Linked DNA regions of Caenorhabditis elegans. The protein of the gene in region 2 purifies or fractionates together with the protein of the main gene of each other region. This does not show direct contact. Each region holds a gene or a part of one and is shown on either strand. Other genes may lie near its edges.

The links.
Region 1: the proteins of C09D4.1 (region 2) and R10E4.3 fractionate together in Caenorhabditis elegans (co-fractionation; one large-scale study listed by BioGRID). This does not show direct contact.

The regions. Positions count from the first base shown.
Region 1 is NC_003281.10:4,285,158-4,289,523, forward strand, and holds R10E4.3 (uncharacterized protein), read right to left. Parts: upstream 2,323-4,366; 5' UTR 2,316-2,322; coding exon 2,142-2,315; intron 2,032-2,141; coding exon 1,750-2,031; intron 1,703-1,749; coding exon 1,597-1,702; intron 1,128-1,596; coding exon 870-1,127; intron 802-869; coding exon 704-801; 3' UTR 684-703; downstream 1-683. Other genes in the region: DNA replication licensing factor mcm-5, read right to left, coding at 3,227-3,648, 3,695-3,965, 4,345-4,366.
Region 2 is NC_003279.8:5,496,116-5,500,989, reverse strand, and holds the start of C09D4.1 (putative MFS-type transporter C09D4.1), read right to left. Parts: upstream 3,312-4,874; 5' UTR 3,074-3,311; coding exon 3,029-3,073; intron 2,141-3,028; coding exon 1,994-2,140; intron 1,821-1,993; coding exon 1,608-1,820; intron 1,105-1,607; coding exon 956-1,104; intron 906-955; coding exon 837-905; intron 1-836.

The DNA.
Region 1 (4,366 bases), on a different chromosome or scaffold from region 2:
GATAATGATAAGAACAATTGTTTGTAAACTTTCTGATTTTCGTAGAAGATTGACATGAGACTTTATGTAACTGCGGCAGCTTAATATATCTAGGTACCACTTAAAAGCGTATTGTAAATGAATATTCAGTACACTTATTATATCATAGTTCAGCAGAACTAATTTTCAGAATTGAACACTGTAAAAATTGTTGGTTTTTTTAAAATTTCTATTTTATTTCTCCATATTTTATTTCAAAATTTTCAATCAACGTTTTTCAAAAGTTTGAGTATTTCTGCAGGTTTTTGAACTCCAAGAACTTTAGAATACAAACAATGGGAACACAGTTATTAAGAAACCGTGAGATCATGAGAATGCCTACCGTTTTGGCGCGGGAATATCTCGTAGCGAAGGCTCCTAAATCTCTCGTCGCTGCATGTTCTCTCTGCTGCCGCCATTTTTGCGCCAGAAAGTAGACATTCTCAAGAACTCATGGTTTCTTAATAAATAATAAAATTAGAAAATTTCGCAGAATCAAAGAAATTTGAAGTATTTTGGAGTTAATAATAGTGCGGAGCATCTAAAAGAAAAAGTTCGATACTAATAGAGACGGGAAAGACTAATTGCCAATTTATCGGTACGGCCATATTTTACAGGCTTGTCACGCTACAAGGTATTAAACAGGCCCAAATGTAAAACATGTTTTAAAATAATTTTTATTAAATCAGGGTTCCTTTGACAACGGATTTTTCTTGCTTCGTGTTGTTTCCTCGAGCGTTGTTGCAAGTGACAGCTCATCCCGTGTCGTTTTACGAACAGTTTCTGCAAAAAATTATTCATATAAATGAATACGAATGAAGAGGAGCCCGTCAAATTTCAACCCAACTTACTTAACGTTGCCGCCGATTTCTTCTTTTTCACAGCACTCTCCATTGTGGATGGCTTCTTGTGTGGTCTAGACGATGGTTTTCTGATCACTTTTAATTGTGTTTTATCATCTTCCATCGTTGACTGAGTTTCAAGTGTTCGTTCACGGATTGTTGATGTGGCTGGCTTCAGTGTTTTTCGTGATGGTTGGTTGTGGTGAACTATTCGAGACAACAGAGGAATTCGATCGTTTGAAGTGACACGTGTCAGTTCGTCCAGGGCTGGAATTCGAATTTCAAATTTCTTAATCAAACCTCAATTAAACCAAATTTCCGCGTAAATCGCACACTCGCGTATTACGGAAACACAAAACTCTGAGAATGCGTACTGCGCAACATTTTTGACGCGCGAAATATCTCGGAGCGAATACTACAGTAATTCTATAAATGACTACTGTAGCTATTGTGTCGATTTACTCTCGTGGCTCGAATTTCAAAATGAATTAAATCATAAATCATCGAAAATGAGCCCGTAAATCGACAGCGCTACAGTAGTCATTTATAGAATTACTGTAGTTTTCGCTCCGAGATATTGTTTGTTCCCGTAATATTGTGCATCGAAACATGCTCCATATTTCAATTATATGTGTTTTGAACTTGCTCTTGAAATATGGTGTGTCTGCACATGAATTGTGTGCAAACACTCAATGCACATAATTTCACGCGCAAATTAAAATATATGGTAACTTACCATCCATTCTTTCTTTCGTCTTCCTCTTCTTTTTCTTTTCCTTTTCTTCCTTCGATCGTTTCAACGGTACCAAATATTCAATTCCAGCAGTTTCATCATTGTCGAACTGAAAATAATTTAATTGCCCAAAACAATCAGAAAATTCATGAATACCTGTTCCATAGTCTCATTATTAAAATTAGTTTCTATCGAAGCGCCTCGCTTAACAATTATACTGCCACAATTCATTGTCAGATCATCGAATAACTTGGATACATGCTTCAAATGATTGATTTCCCCTTCTTTTGCCAGTTTCAACAACTTTTTATCGTCTTCTGTCAGCTCAAAGCCACGTTCATGACACGTGTCATGATGAGCTAAAAAGCGGATTTCTCGGGAAGTGAGACGGCTGATCGGACGAACTGTGCCTCCAGCTATTCGAGATTTTGCAGTGTCCTGAAATTAAAAATTATATTCGAACGGTGGTTGCACACTTTTTCATTTCTGTGTAGTATACAGACACAACACATTAAATTTTACGAGCCTGAAAGAAAATCTTCGAATACCTTTTCCAACTTATGCATTATTTGATTGTTTGGTGGTTCGTCTCTCGGGTAAAACCAAAACCATGCGATTAAGAAGCAAACAAATTGTGCGCCAAACATGATTATTAATAATATCGACTTAAAATGTTCATCTTCTTCGCTTCCGTCCTCCTCTTGCGACGACGCCGATGTCATTTTTGATAGAAAATAAATCAATTTTTGGTTTTTTTTGAAATTGGACATTTTAGAAAAAAAACGTGTCCTTTTCTTATTTTGAAAAAATATAATTTTTATCTATTTTTTAAACATTTAGCTATAAATATTTATGAATTTCCATTTCAACCTGAATATGAAAAAGTGTCGTTTGTAATTGTATTCGTTCGACAATGTCTTCACAAAATCTTAACCAAATATTCAAATCCGCTTCAAAAGCTAAAATGCATCCCAAACTACCCAGGCAATCCCACAAAACCCTCGCCATTATCTCAACTCTCGGCCCATGTTAAATGCTAAAAATTTAAATTTCCCAAACTACAGTAACCCTACAGTACCACCAACCCTAACCTAATAATAGCAACATTTTTTCAAATTCAAATTTTCCGAAACTACGCAAATCCTACAGTACTCCTGCAATAATACCGTACTTAGCTACAAGGGAAGTATTTCAACCTAATCCCGGACTTCCAAATGAAACTTATGTCGAAGACTACCTTTAGGTTAGGTTTCCACAATTTTCAGTTACTGCTACCAACCTCACACTCGGCTTAAAGTGATTTTTGTTTGTTTATTTGGTGAATCAGTAAATTTTCTTGAGTAAGTTCACCATTGTTGGGGCATTTGCCAAAAATCAAATTATTCAAGAAGAACTTTGGAAAAATATTCCTTTAAGCAGGCATGCCATCATTTAGCAAACGAGCGGTGAAAATCTTCTGATGTGTTTTCTTGACACGATCATAAACTAGAATTTGATTATTTTTCAAGGTCTTCGAAAAAGCAAACGTTCATTTAATAATTTAGAACAGTTTAAAATCAAATTGAATGAGAAAATATGTTAAGAATTGAGTATGAGAAAGAGATCCAGATAAAAAAGACAAAATTTTGAGAATTTATCGAACACGGTAGAGCATCTTGCGTTGCATCTTTTGTTGCAAGTCTCCACGACGGACCAAATTATCGATAACCTTCTTGACAAGAGACTCTCTATAATGTTGACGAGCAACAAAGTCTTGAACAATCAAATGCTCAGAAACGTGTGTACCGATTGCGAATCTCTTCTTCATTTGCACTTCGATACGATTCAATGCTTCTTGATCAGCTGTTGAAGTAAATCCTTCGACTCCTGCCAAATTTCCAGTTGCCGCCGCTTCAATTGTTGAAACACGGAACAGACGGAGCGCTTCCTCGACGTGCTTGTCAGTGGCAAACTGCTGAAGCTCCATCTTTGCAATACTTTCAGCAATACGAACAATGGCTTCGAGTTGACGAACGGTAATCGGAATTGCCGAATTATGAGCCTTCTTTCCTGATTCTGAAAATTTATGGGTTTTCATTACAAAATGATATTTTAAACTTACTAAAAGCATCAGCATTGACAACTGGATTTCTCATCTTAACGTAGTGATTAACGAGCTTCTCAGAAGCTTGCGGAGTAAGACGTGGTCCACAGTTCAAACGAGCATATGTGACGAATTTCTTGAGGAACTCGATAGTCAAGAAACCATCCGTATCGAACATTGTCATCACACCATCTGAATCAGTTGTGGCTGTTTTTGGGACTCCTGCAATATCACGTTCTTTAGCAGCAGATGCATTCACATGAACTTCGATGACGTGCTTCGCGAGGGTCTGAAAATATTCAAAATTAAAGCTGAAAATTTAGAATTATTGGGCAAAAAAATCGGCCGTCGTGTACTACCCGTGCACAACTGTGAATTACGATTTCGCCAAGGTTTTTAGATGTTTAACATTCGAAATGGACAATATACCCCTCATTTGTATTATTCCCGGCAGAGAATTGGATTTCATTTTTTTTTAAATTATTGCTTTCTGTGCAAAGCAGGGGTATATTGCCCATTTCGAATGTTAAAATTGTAAAAAAATTAGCGAAAATGTTCCAAAATCATGCAAGCAAGCTAATGCAGTAAAATCATTCAGAAATTAATCACGACACACTAGGCGCACCCCTTCTTTGTTTCTGTGCGTGAGCATCCTTGCAGAAACTTACAGCATCTTTGAGAACATCATGA
Region 2 (4,874 bases):
TCTCTGTCTCTCCATACGTGTAAATACAGGCCATCAGTAGAAAATAGTATGAAAGAATGAAGAGACTAGGTAGACATGTAGAGACAAAAAGTTACATATGTTAACTGTATTTTTCGTGGTTGTTTCGCGCGTTTCGACACACATCCACTTCCGAGATGGAAATGAGAGAACAATGAGGTCAGCGGTAGGTGTCTAGACCTTATAGCCTATGACTATGAACGCCTAGCGATGGACTGGCGCCACGGTTTTCTGGTTAAATTTTGATCACTTGAAGCCTAACAAAGAAACGCAGTATAAAAGTGTTGATCGCGAAAATTTAAGCCAAAACTCTAGAAAAATTGAAAAATTGAACAGGTTTGTATTAACGAAACAAATGATTATATTAACAAATAATTAATTAATTATATTAACAAATAACAATGGTTTCTCTGAAAATTCACTTGAGAAATTTTTGTCCCCCGATCCCGAAAAAGAACACACTCGAACTGAACCATTTTTTTTTTGTAATTTTTTGTTGCAAATTTTTAAAAACCTTTTGAGAAAAGCGTTCTAAGTGAAAATTTCTTATGCGAAAAATCCCAAAAATTGAGTGGGAGTTATGTATATGCGGAAGACCAGAGGCCTGAAACTTTTTTCGCTAGAGACTAGAGCGGTCGTAAGAGAAGATAATTGCGATATTTTGAGATGAATCCATTTTTAGACTAAGATTTTTCTAATTATAAAACATTTTTAGAAATTCTTTTTCAGTATTTTTTCAATGTAGTAAAAAAGAAAAGCGTAGTCAAATCATATTTTCCCCCTATTTTTGAGTCAAACTTTTCAAAAAAGTAACTTACGCGGCTGGAATGAAGAATAAAATATAAGTGAGCATATAAATCATTGAAGTCCAATCAACTGCTTGAAACCTACAAATTCCACTTTGAGAATAAATTTTAACTGAAAAATATAAACTTACGAAACTTTATAATAATCTGAAATAATGTTTGCAATAATTGAATATTGAATCCATTGTGCTCCATTTGAACCGGACAAAAACATGAATATCACCAAAATCACCCATCGTTTCCTGAACACTTTTGGTTCAATTTTCTCTTGTTTTTCCATCTAAAAATAAATAAATATTCAATGTACGTCATTTGGAATAACTTGAGACATTTGTGAATTTTCAAGAACTTTTTTGATTAATGAGCTCCCGAATTTATGCAAATAAATGTAGTTTGATACTGGAAATTTTTTTAAGGCTTAAATTCGCGCCTACTCCCGGCTCACATTGATTTTTTTTTTCTGAAATTTTAACAAATAACTGAAAAAAGAAAGTCTCAGAGTTTGTGCCAAGATTCATAGAAAATAATTCTAAAAAATCAACTAGCAGGTAGGCAGAAAAAGTGCCTGCCTACTATATGCCTATTTGAAATGCTTGAAGCAAAAAGGAGATTCTAAACTGTTTTTGAGTTTTTCAAATCTTTTGCAAAATTTTTGAAAACTTTTTCTATTTGAAAACAAAGAAAAGTGTCAGTTAATAAGTTTTTTTAATCACTCTGTTGGAATTTTATAGAACTTACATAATTTCTGAAATTTAAATAATTAGAAAGAAAACAAAAACTCACTAAAAGGACATGATGATTATCACCATTGGAGCATCCATTGGCTCCACCATTTTCACTTGATCCACCTCCCATTTCAATCGGCTTCTCCTCCTTTTTGATACCACCAATCCGATGCTCTTTGCTCTGACGATTGCTCTGCTGGCTCGTTGTCGCCGCCGAGCAAGAGTGGGCGGAGCTTGAGCCGCGTGCTCTTACTAAGCAGGTGGGAAGGGTCTACAATTATCCTCTTGGACAATACAAATGTGTGTTGCAATAATTTTTTTCTTTTTGATGGCTTTTGTTTGAAATTTGAATACATTTGAATGCACTGGATGCTAAGACTAAAGTTGAAGCCTACATAATAGAAAATGGGCGTGGTCTGATAGTTCAAAAGTCAATAGACTGACCTCTTCTGTTTCAGCACTTTTACGTGGAGTAATGGGAGAAGACGAAACACGCGAAGAATGGGCGGAGCCTGACTCTGAGCTAGTCCATGCAATTGAACCACTTGTCGAAGGCTCAACGGGTTCTATTGGTACAGTTCTTCTCACAGGCTGAAAAATACTTTATTGAATATTTTTTCACAAGAAAAATCAAAGGGTTCTGAAAGGAAACTGACTTCAAAACATTTAGAATGTTTTAGCTAAAGCTGGTTTGCGTTTTGCAGAATTAAATTAATTTTAATAAGATGAAGTGTGTTTCTAAAACTGCAAGGCAAATTTTAAAGTTTCAAGAACATCAAAAACTAAAAGAAAAGTATTTTGAAAATGAGATTAAAAAATCATTTTGTTTTCATGTTAAAAATTGCCAGTTATGAAAAAAAAAAAATCAAAATACAAAAGCTTCACCTGTCTTAATGCATCTTTCCGCCACATTTTTCAAATATTCGATAGTTAAAATGAACTTTTACTAGATACGATCATAGTTTTTTCTATTGAGAATACCGAGTAAATGAAAAATGTTCAATTCCAATGAAAGGTAAGCCCGCAAAGTCACACGCAACGTTTCAAATTATCAAATATTAGATTTTATCTATTATATATATTTATCAATCAGTTTTGAATTATAGAAAGGATAGTTAGATAATCACTGATGTCTGACAGAAAACATTTTATCGAATTTTTGTATTTACAAATGAAACTGTATTATTAAAAAAAAAAGACGATATAGATTCCTACAAAAAATTATTTCAGTCTTTGAAAAAATCCAATAAAAAATCCAGAATGCCTGTCTACTACAAAACTCCTAAATTATTTGATTGAAAATAATTAAAAAACTACACTGTAAAATTTCAGATCAAAATTAGCCCGCTTCGGTGCGGTTACATTTTCCGGGAGAAGCTGCTTCAGTTTAAATTTAAATACTCAGATTTTTTGTGAGTTCTCCAATTTTTTAATCAAATTAATGTAATTTTATAAAAAATTTGAAAAATGAAAGCTTACCCCTTTAAGAATAAAATCTCGGATAAATTGAGCTTTTCCGCCCATTTTTTCCAGAGTTTTTAAAAAATTAATTTAGCAAAAAATAAACTATAGTATAGAATATTGCAGCACGAGGGAAAAAATAATAACTGATAATAAATCGTCGACTGCGTAATTCAACCAGTTTATCATCAGTTTCCAAAATGTACTGAAAATGATCAGAATGTGAACTCTGAAACAATGATAGAAGTCACATGAAATTGGAAACTAATGGTAAAAACTTTTTGAAAAGTATAGAAATAATAATAATAATTCAAACAAAAACCGCATGGTTTTGTTTTTGTATAACGGTCTATGTCTTCTTTTCTATCAATGAATGAAAATTGTGACTAACACTTTTTGATACTTGTTCTAGAATACCTGTATTATGGTTTCTCTATTTAAAACTTCAGAAATTCGGAAGAATCTGGAAGTTAAAATGATTTCTTACATTTAGAAAACTTTATAGGGCCTTAACTGTGATTCCTAAAATTATGGAAATGTATTTTTTGGAAACTTGACAGAAAATCAGTTTTTAAAAACTAGATTCAGTACAAAATGTTCATAATAACGTCTGGAAGTATTACAAATTTTACTATGAAAAAAAAAACAATTATTGAGTATAGAAAAAATACAGAAAATTTAACAACTGTCAAATTTAAGTTCATTCCAAAATATAAACATTACAAAAACAACAATAAATCAAAAATTAACGTCGAGTACAATTTACAGAAATGGAGATTTATTTTTTTTTTAATATTACCCAGACGCAAACAGTTTCATGTAAAGCCAGGTTATACGGTCTCGACACGACCGAAAAATGTTAAGCATATGTTGCAAAAAGAGTCTCCGTCTTTAAGGAGTACTGTAGTTTTTACTTGGATCTATTTATTATTAAAACTAAATTAAATTTTGAATTTATAAATGTGAAAGAAAAAGTTAAACATCCAGAAAATAAAAGTAGTGAAATATAAGTTCTGAAAAAAAATTTAATCGCGAAGCGGCTATTATTGAAAACTACTGTCAAGACGCTCATGTTTTTTGCAAAATTCATATTAAAAAAATTCCAAAAAACAATTTTTTTTAAAGCTTGATATTTTATTGTTTTACAGCCCTTTAAGAAGCATATGATGGAAACAAATATATACCACCTATGAAGTTAAAAATTTGAGTTTTTCGGCTAGATGTGGCTAGATGCTTTTTGTAAATATTTCAAAAAAAAAAATCGGTACTCATTTTCAATGCTAATTTTGCTCGGTTAAATGGGAGTCAATTTTTCATATTATCAGCTAAGGATTTTCTATGTTTTCACTACATATTTCAAAAAATATTTAAATTTTAAAAAAACATTTTTAAAGCTATGACTTTGATTGAGAACTTAGTGATTTCACGGTGGGTTATAAATTGTTTTCTAAAGTACGGTATGAACCAAAACTAAACCATTCCAAAGAGAGAAAGTCAGAGTCACAAACTTTGAAAAGTCATAAAGTAATTGTGTGGAAAGAAGTAAAAAAGATTATTAGAGAAGAAGAGACGGAGAGAAATCACCAAAGGATGGGAATCTCTTTCAAATTGAAAATTCCCAAAATTTATTGAACTGTAACAAATCTGCTTACTTCTTTTTAATACTACAATATTATGATATATATGAAAAGAAATTCTTTGGCCTGTTGAACATTTTTTTTTGATTTTAAATTTTCTCAGGAAGAAAAAATAGAGGGCCATTATGAAATTATTTAAAGTTTTTTTTAAAATTGTTTCGCCCGTCTATGCATTTGCCAGAAAACCGAAAAATTTATATTAATAATCGAGGAAAATGTAAGAAAAT